2 linked regions of the Lepisosteus oculatus genome follow. The protein of the gene in region 1 interacts with the protein of each later gene in a biochemical or structural test. Links are inferred from orthologs where the notes say so. Each region holds a gene or a part of one and is shown in the gene's direction. Other genes may lie near its edges.

What was found.
Region 2: the proteins of atr (region 1) and atrip form a complex in vitro, tested with the Homo sapiens proteins (4 studies listed by BioGRID and IntAct, with this or other methods). The link is inferred for Lepisosteus oculatus from reciprocal best matches to the Homo sapiens genes ATR and ATRIP.

What each region holds. Positions count from the first base shown.
Region 1 is NC_090708.1:15,723,255-15,727,176, forward strand, and holds the start of atr (serine/threonine-protein kinase ATR), read left to right. Parts: upstream 1-1,067; 5' UTR 1,068-1,191; coding exon 1,192-1,247; intron 1,248-1,424; coding exon 1,425-1,516; intron 1,517-2,355; coding exon 2,356-2,499; intron 2,500-2,896; coding exon 2,897-3,786; intron 3,787-3,922. UniProt on the Homo sapiens protein: Serine/threonine protein kinase which activates checkpoint signaling upon genotoxic stresses such as ionizing radiation (IR), ultraviolet light (UV), or DNA replication stalling, thereby acting as a DNA damage sensor.
Region 2 is NC_090699.1:61,370,186-61,374,107, reverse strand, and holds the start of atrip (ATR-interacting protein), read left to right. Parts: upstream 1-1,004; 5' UTR 1,005-1,131; intron 1,132-1,731; 5' UTR 1,732-1,747; coding exon 1,748-2,156; intron 2,157-2,418; coding exon 2,419-2,498; intron 2,499-3,294; coding exon 3,295-3,465; intron 3,466-3,922. UniProt on the Homo sapiens protein: Required for checkpoint signaling after DNA damage. Required for ATR expression, possibly by stabilizing the protein.

The sequences.
Region 1 (3,922 bases):
TAGTGCAATACTAAACAGAATGTGAAGTACATGCTAAAGGGTTTCAAAGGTTAGTAGTTATCCTGTCATCAAAATCAGTATCGTTATAAGGTAAACTTTTCTTTCAGTTGTGTAGGCAATCTATTCTAACAACCTACTTTTTATCAAAGCGTGCAGAAATGTTAATTTATTACAACCAGGAACTCTACATCAAAGTTATGATCATTCACCACTCCTACTGGTTATATACACGGTCTTTGCCTCAGTTATTTGCATTTTAAAAAATACATGACTCTGACAGTACACTTAAATATCAGCACAACTCACAGGTCTATGTCAGTTCTCTGCTCCACTTGTCATGTTTCCTGAAGCATATTAGACACGTAAGAGACATAAGGAACAAAACATGAGGACGTTGTGTGACACTAACCACCCACTGATCTGTTATTCATTGATTTCCACGTCCTCATCGACTACTGAATTACAGCACTGACCTAAGGACACAAGATAGGTTACAAATAAGAAGAGGCCATTCAGTCCGTGGTTAGTCAGGGATCTGATCCAGCAGTTTATGAAAGAAGCTAGGGTGTCGACTTCAGCAAAGCGTTACATTTAGTTGGAAATGTTTGTACTCATACTGTATACAGGTATGCAAATGATTCAGCCTATAAAACCTACTGTAGTATTTTGTATGTATTCTCTTAAATATAAAATGTTATTTTTTATCTGTCATGTCTGTGGATCATATTAGTAAAGAACTGTACAGTATACCAATGAGGTATCGGTGAAAGAAAGAATTTTGTGGTAGTATGACGTTTAATGATAAAACAAAATGCCACAGCTCTCTCGGTGCCTTCGAAATAAAACAGATCAGTCCGTTACTTTTTAGCAGGCTAACATTTTTCCACTTGCCAGTCATGATTTAAAGTTGCTTAAAACAAGCCAAAAATTGCACAGTCTTAGGTTTAAGCTTATGCGAGCTCACACGGAACTCACACGCTTTGTGTCCCAGACGACTACTTCAAGTTCACTTCTGCTCTTGCTGGGAAGACATTTGTCCCTCGCTGGATGCCGTACCGCTGCGTTACAGCGAGGGAGCGAAAGTTTTGAGATATGCGTGTGGTCATGAAATGCTGCTGACTTAATGTACAAAAGAGTGCACACAATATATCTACGTCCACTTTGAATGTACATTATTAAAAAAACACAAAGATGGACCAAGGCTTAGAAATGGCAGCCATGATTCCTGCTTTGCAGGAACTTGGGAGGTAAGTGTTCTTAACTCATCTTGGAAATATAGTTCATTCTGTGAGATCTGACGTCTAACAAAATAACTTTAACTTCGTGAACTACCTGGTTTTTAGTTTATACACTGCATTATATGACAATCCTTTTTAACGAGCCACGTATTTTAGCTAATAAATTATGCTTCTTTTTGTCTGTAGCGCTCCCCCGGAGGAGTACAACAGTGTTGTCCAGAAACCCAGACAAATACTCTGCCAGTTTATTGACAGGATATTGACAGACGTAAATCTGGGTAAGTGGAAAATGTGTTTGCCTCCTCATTAGGTTAAACAACACGCACGTAGCTTTCCGTTTTAAAATCCTGAAAGTGTTAAAAATCGAAAATATAGTTATTGAAGTTTTTCAGAAAATATTTCTCGTTCCTGGCTAGTGTCAGCTGTCTCTGAAGCAAAGCCGGATCTAACTCTTGGATAGGTCGCCAGATAGTTGTACAGTCCACATACTTGGGGACAATTTAGAGGCACCTACCTAAAATGGTGCATTTGAATCGTTCCTGTGCTTGTGTACCCTGTGACAACAAAGCAGCAGGTCTTTGGAAGATGAGAGGAAACTGGAGCCGCTGGCAAAAAGCAGTGTGGGTTTGTGGAGAACATGCAAATTCCAAACGAAGTCACTCCAGTCTAAAATCATGTTGAGGACCTAAGATGAGGTGCTAATCCCAAAAATACCCTCTTCTAAATTGTTGTTGCAGAAATACATCCTGTCTGCATTAGATAATGAGATTTGTCAGTTGACTTTTATTTCGGATTGAGGTATAAAAAATGTAAAATCGCAAAAAAGCCTTTAATGAATCTTTAAAGTAATCAGCAGATACTGTTAGTTTAATTGTAACAATAACTCTTTTATTCCAATAATTCAGAGGTCAAGTCACACAAACATTGTCTTTGCTCTGAAGCTCAGTTCTTTAAACCTCCTGCACTGCACTCATTTTTGCACATTAGAGTTTAAATCCTGAGGAACACGTTACAGTGCTCAAAACATAAGATCCCTGCAGCATCATTAGCCAATAAATTAATAGAAGAAGGAAACAATACAATTTAATGAGTAATCTTACAAACTTTCTTCTTTCAGTTGCCTTAGAATTGACAAAAAAGAATGTTCCACAGACCGCCTGCATGATGTTGCTTGACTTCATACAACACATCATAAAGTCATCCCCACTGATGTTTGGAAACCCTGCCTGCCAATTCAAGGATATGGAAAACAGTTCCACTGGTGAGTTTTGTGTTTTGATGAATGAATATATTAACTCTAATGTCAAAAAGAATGAACCTTGGAATGTATTGTCACAGACATCATCGTTGGTCCCCTCTATCTCCACCCAATAAAGTCACTTACTTATTAATGGCAGTTAACAGTGCTGGTTAAACTGCACTTCTTTGATTTGCTGCTTCTGGATATATTGAACACTCATTTACTTAATTAAGAAGTGATTAAGACATCCTGTGAATTCCAGGGTTCAGACAGCCAGATTTGAGTTCCTGTACTTCCAGTATGTCTGTAAATGAAAACACGTGACAGTAAAGTTTAGCTGCAGCTATTTTTGTGTTAAATGAAACTACAGTTCGGTGATTTCTGTGGTTTCAGTCAGTGTTCTCTTTTTGTTTTAAAGATTTCAGTAAGTGGATTATTACTCGACTTCTGAGGATTGCTGCAGCCCCTAAGTGTGAGACCTTGCATCAGAAGATAGCCAGCGTCATCTGTTCCTTACTGCAGCTGTTTAAAGTTAAATGCCCTGTTATATTCGGAATGTTGTCAAAGGAACTTTTAGCGCTTCTCCAGGATCTGATCTGTTTGAATAAGCGAAATGCACGAAGTACTTGCGGCAGAAAGCCTCCTATGTGGCCTTTTGCTATTGAGAGATTTTCAGTGATCCCAGAAGGTTGCGCCACCTATTTGACGCCTACAGTCTTTCAGCTGTCATCAGTGATTTCTGCTGAAATGCTCGAAGGCACCGTGCTCACCGTTCTGGCAGACGTCCTTCATGGCTTTTTTTTTAGAAGAGAGGTCAGCATTATTTGGGAGCTGAGCTGCTCTGTTATGCAGTATGGAAGCCCTAAATTAAAGGGGAGAGCCATGGAACTGATCTCTCGCGTTGTGGAGCTCGGTGGTTTCCCCGAAGAAAACGCACATTTTTTCTTCGCGGCTTTTCTCCAGGTGCTGCATTCCTTCAGTACGGCTGACAAATCGGCCTTGAAGCTGTTTGAGAAGCAGTTTGCCAGGCTGACCCGGTTAGTGTTTGTACACGAACCGGAGACGCACCGAAAGCTCGAGCGGGTTTACCTGAACGTGGTGTTGGAGAAGCTCCACGAGCTCGTTGTGAACGGGCTGCTGGAAAGGTTTGAGTCGGAGGAAATCCAGACGGCCCTCCTCGAAATATTTCGGTTCGTACTGGAGTTTGTTCCCCCTGGATACGAGTCGGCAGAGCAGATCAGAAAAGAACGCGTTCATGGCATCTGCAAAGCCCTGATCGAGATGATTGGAGCTCGGAGGCACCAGGAGGTTAGTGAGGCACTGTTTGTAATTTGACTTTTTGATCCTGCTTATATATTTCTGCAAATTAAAATGTCACACTTTGCATGTGCACATTTTTGGTTTTGGGTGTTAGAATACATAGGAACAAGTTATAGGTTTATTC
Region 2 (3,922 bases), on another chromosome or scaffold:
GACCTGTAACCGTTTTAGCAAATGAATAAAACGGAAGATCAGGGAGCAGACGTTATTCAAATGAAAGCAACAAACAACTATCGCAAATAAGCAGTGGTTAGGTCTAAACACGTAACCTTGAAAAAAAGCGTTTTCCACGGCGGATTTTTTCCCCTAGTTTTTGCTTTCAGCATAGAATAAACCTCTTCTTGACCCTTATACCCAGCCTTTCTAACTCCTTCGAATGAATACCAGAGTAATCGGAGAACATTTTAAATATATTTTTTTTTAGCAGAGGGATGTTACAGTTAAACTAATAACTTGCCCCCGTTTTTTGGAATTCACTTGTTATTTCTTTCATTGTTTTGTAGTATGTACAACAGCACTACTTTAAAAAAAATTGAGTACTATATTATTAAAGCTGCCCAAACTAGGCGTATTGATGTAGCTCCTGGTAATTATTCATGGTGATTTTAACAAAAGGTTTTCTACGAACCGAGTCTCTAAAAAAAAGGGAGAAACCACGTGGAGTTTCATGGAGAACGAAATAGAAAATAAAGCATGTATCCTTCCTAGCTTGGCATGCGAGTGACCGAGGTAAAATAATTTTGCTAAAGTGCACAAACACTGGAATACCAAAGCTACAGAAGACTACTGTTCTTTGATATTTAACATAAAGGAAACGCGTTTAATTATTCAAGAACAAATATCGAGGTCAGTTAAAACTGGAAGGAAAACATTAGGGGAACATTTAACACCTGGTCTCCCATACTGTAAGGGCAAAATGTGTGATTGCAAAGAGTTCAATAAAAACACAATAATACGCTTCGTAGCTATCCTACTATGCCCTGTTCTGTTTTGTTGAAGATAACTTCCGCTCTAACGGCGGAAACAAAATGTGTCCTATTCGCTTTCCGTAGACAGCAACTGCCTTTTTCTCCAATAGAATCGCGTCTTACTTCACAGTTATTGTTAGAACCTGCGATATGATTGGCTGTGGTACTTGAGACGTCTAGAGTGCAGAAATCAATATTGTAAAGTATGTAGAATGAGATGAGGATGTGTTAGTTCGGGTCTGCTTTTGCAGTCTGAATATGAGAATTGTATAATTGAAGTGGCACTACGCAATGGAATTGTGTGATTTAATATCAGGTTTGTTTTCAGGACGTATTCAGTTTTATTTCAGATACTTTATTTTCTGTTTCTCCCAAAAAGTTAGCGAAGTTTTGTTTGAGTTAAAAATGTGTGAGCAGTAGTTCAGTCATTCCCACTTTCTAATATAATATATATTAAATATTTAATATATAGCTTTACTTCTTTATATAATTGTCCATTTACGAATGATAAGCATTTTGTTAAACGTTAAGATAAACCCGATGTGTTCATCCTTCTTTTCTAAAGAGGATTTAAAACATCTCATTTGCTTTCGGTTTTCGGTGTAACCTCCCCAGTTTGTCACGGAAATTAATATTTTTGAATTTTAAAAACTTTTTTCTAAACATGCTTTTGCCTTAAGCGCTTTCGGTTTTATTGATATTCGAAGGTATTCGGTCCTTACCCGACCAGAAAATATGTTTTTTCTTCTTTCCGCCATTCATAAATTACGGTCCGGGTACACATACTGTATACAGTGGGCATACAGTAAACACCAGGGTTAAAAGCTCTGGTGCTGATCGGAGAAGAAGATCTTTACTTATTGTGAGGTCTGTTATTTAGTTTTAATATTTTGTTTATTCTTTTCTGATCTTCCAGAGTACTGATTGTCAGGATGTCTGACTACAATATTTATGCGAACAGGAGAAATATCAGTGTTGCTCAAGACAAATTGGGTGCTTCGGTAGCGGGGCTTTCTGCCGTCACTGGACGACGTTCACCCGGAGACCATGGCATGGAGTGCCCTCCTCTGAAGCGCCATAAGGGAGCAGGTCAGAACGTGGCCGATTGCTTCGGAGAGGACGATGACTTTACACAAGATGATCTGGATGAGATTGATACTATTGCATCCCAGGCATTTACTGAGCCTGTGGAAGCGAACAAACCTGAACAAACCACGAAAAGCAGGCCAACAGCAGAGGTCAGAACTACCTTTGCTATTGGCAACAGTTATCATGTGGGCAGCGATGGTGGGCTGAGCAAGTTGGGCACCTCTGACAGATCCACAACCAAGGAAACCTGCGGTATGCTTTTAAAATGTTGTTCATAACACATTAGAGTGCATACATGTTATCTTGTATAAAATTAATTGTAATGCAGGGGAGTGGAAACTATCAGCAGCTTTTCTAGTAGAACAAAAGTATTTGTTGTGCAATGTATACAATTGTTACATTAACTCCCCTGTTTCATTTAGTAAGTGTTAACCAGTGACTTTGCAAAGGAACCACTCCTGCTGCTCGCTCATTTCATGATTAAAAAGACTGTGGGTTTGGGATTTCCTGACAGGAAATGGAGAACAATTCAGGAGAGGCAGAGAAGCATTCTACGAGTCATTTGAAGCTCAACATGAAGAGCTTAAGAAAAAGGTGAGCTTGCACTAAATTAAATGTTTTTTGAAAAATTGGAATATGGCTTAAAGGTTCTTCTTATGTACAACTGTGACAGTATTGTCACTTTATGCTCAATTTTTTAAAAAATCTCAAATTTCAGTACTATGAAACACCATAGTTACTTCAAGTATTCTATTAGACATCGTTACCCACTCCTTGAGTTGGGATAGGGATTCTGTCTAGTGTCATGGAGAATTTTGGTCAGTTTGGCTGTTGAAGTCCATATTGAGCAGACATTTCCTACTCATTAAAAATGTCTGAGTTGAATGAACGTATGCCGGTCATGAGTTAACAATAAAGCCCGCAAGAACTATTTGGTTTTTTTGTGCATTCCCAGCTTGCTGGGTTTTCTTCAAAGTCTTTGATTGGAGCTGTAACTCACGTATCTTATGCTTTTTAGCAACGTGAAAAGCTGCAGGGGTCTTAGTTAATTAGGGATCTTGGTTAATTGCTTGGTTAATTGGTCAGCTTGAGGCTGACCTAACGGCTTGACTTTCTGACCTTGTTTACACCTGATATGGTAAGAAATTGATACTGTCCAATCAGAAATGTATGTTTGTGTCTGAAAATTTTGCTCATCTTCAAGAATAAAAGCCTGTTGCTGTCCTTACGAAAGTGAGTGAGACACAAGGTTAACCTGTTAAGTCTGTCTGTCCTCCTTTCTTTATTGGAATAAAGAAATCTCAGCTTGACTTACCAAAGTCGTGTGGTTAACTCGGAAAAGGGTCTAACGAGCGATATCTCTTTTCTTTCTCCCTCCCCTCCCTGTCAGCTGAAGGAAGCGGAGTCTCAGCTGCTGATGAAGAACGGGGAGATCCGAGTGCTGCGGGACTCTCTGCAGCACACAGAGCAAGAGCGGGACAAGCAGAGAAAAGCCCAGCTCCTCTTGGAGAAAGAAAGAGCCAACATCCAGAGTGAAAAGGAGAAGGAGCTGGCAAAGAAGGTCAGCTCTATACATTTTGCATCTGTTCTCCCCACTGAGAACTGGTATGTGGGGAGCATACTGGCGCACTATGGGTGCCATCACGTCATCCGGGTGGGGGCTGCACATTGGTGGTGATAGTGGGATTACTCATTACCTGTAAAGTGCTTTGAGTGGAGTGTCCAGAAAAACACTGTACAAGTGTAAGGAATTCTTCTTCTTCTTCTGCAATCATGTTGGTTAGAATCACTGTGAGACTGGAGCAAAGTGGGGTCTGAAAGGCAGGTTCTCTGCCATTTTTATGTAGTGTTGAGTTGCACGTTGCCAGTTCACTTTCCACATATTGTCTGTTTTCTAAGTCTCAGCTGGTTATTCTTGGACACTGTTGGCTCTTTTAAAGCTAAAATGCTCAAAGGGTAGGGTTGCCATGTGGCTCAAAGTGTAAAAGTGCTCAGGCAGACTACGTGTTGAGATGAAT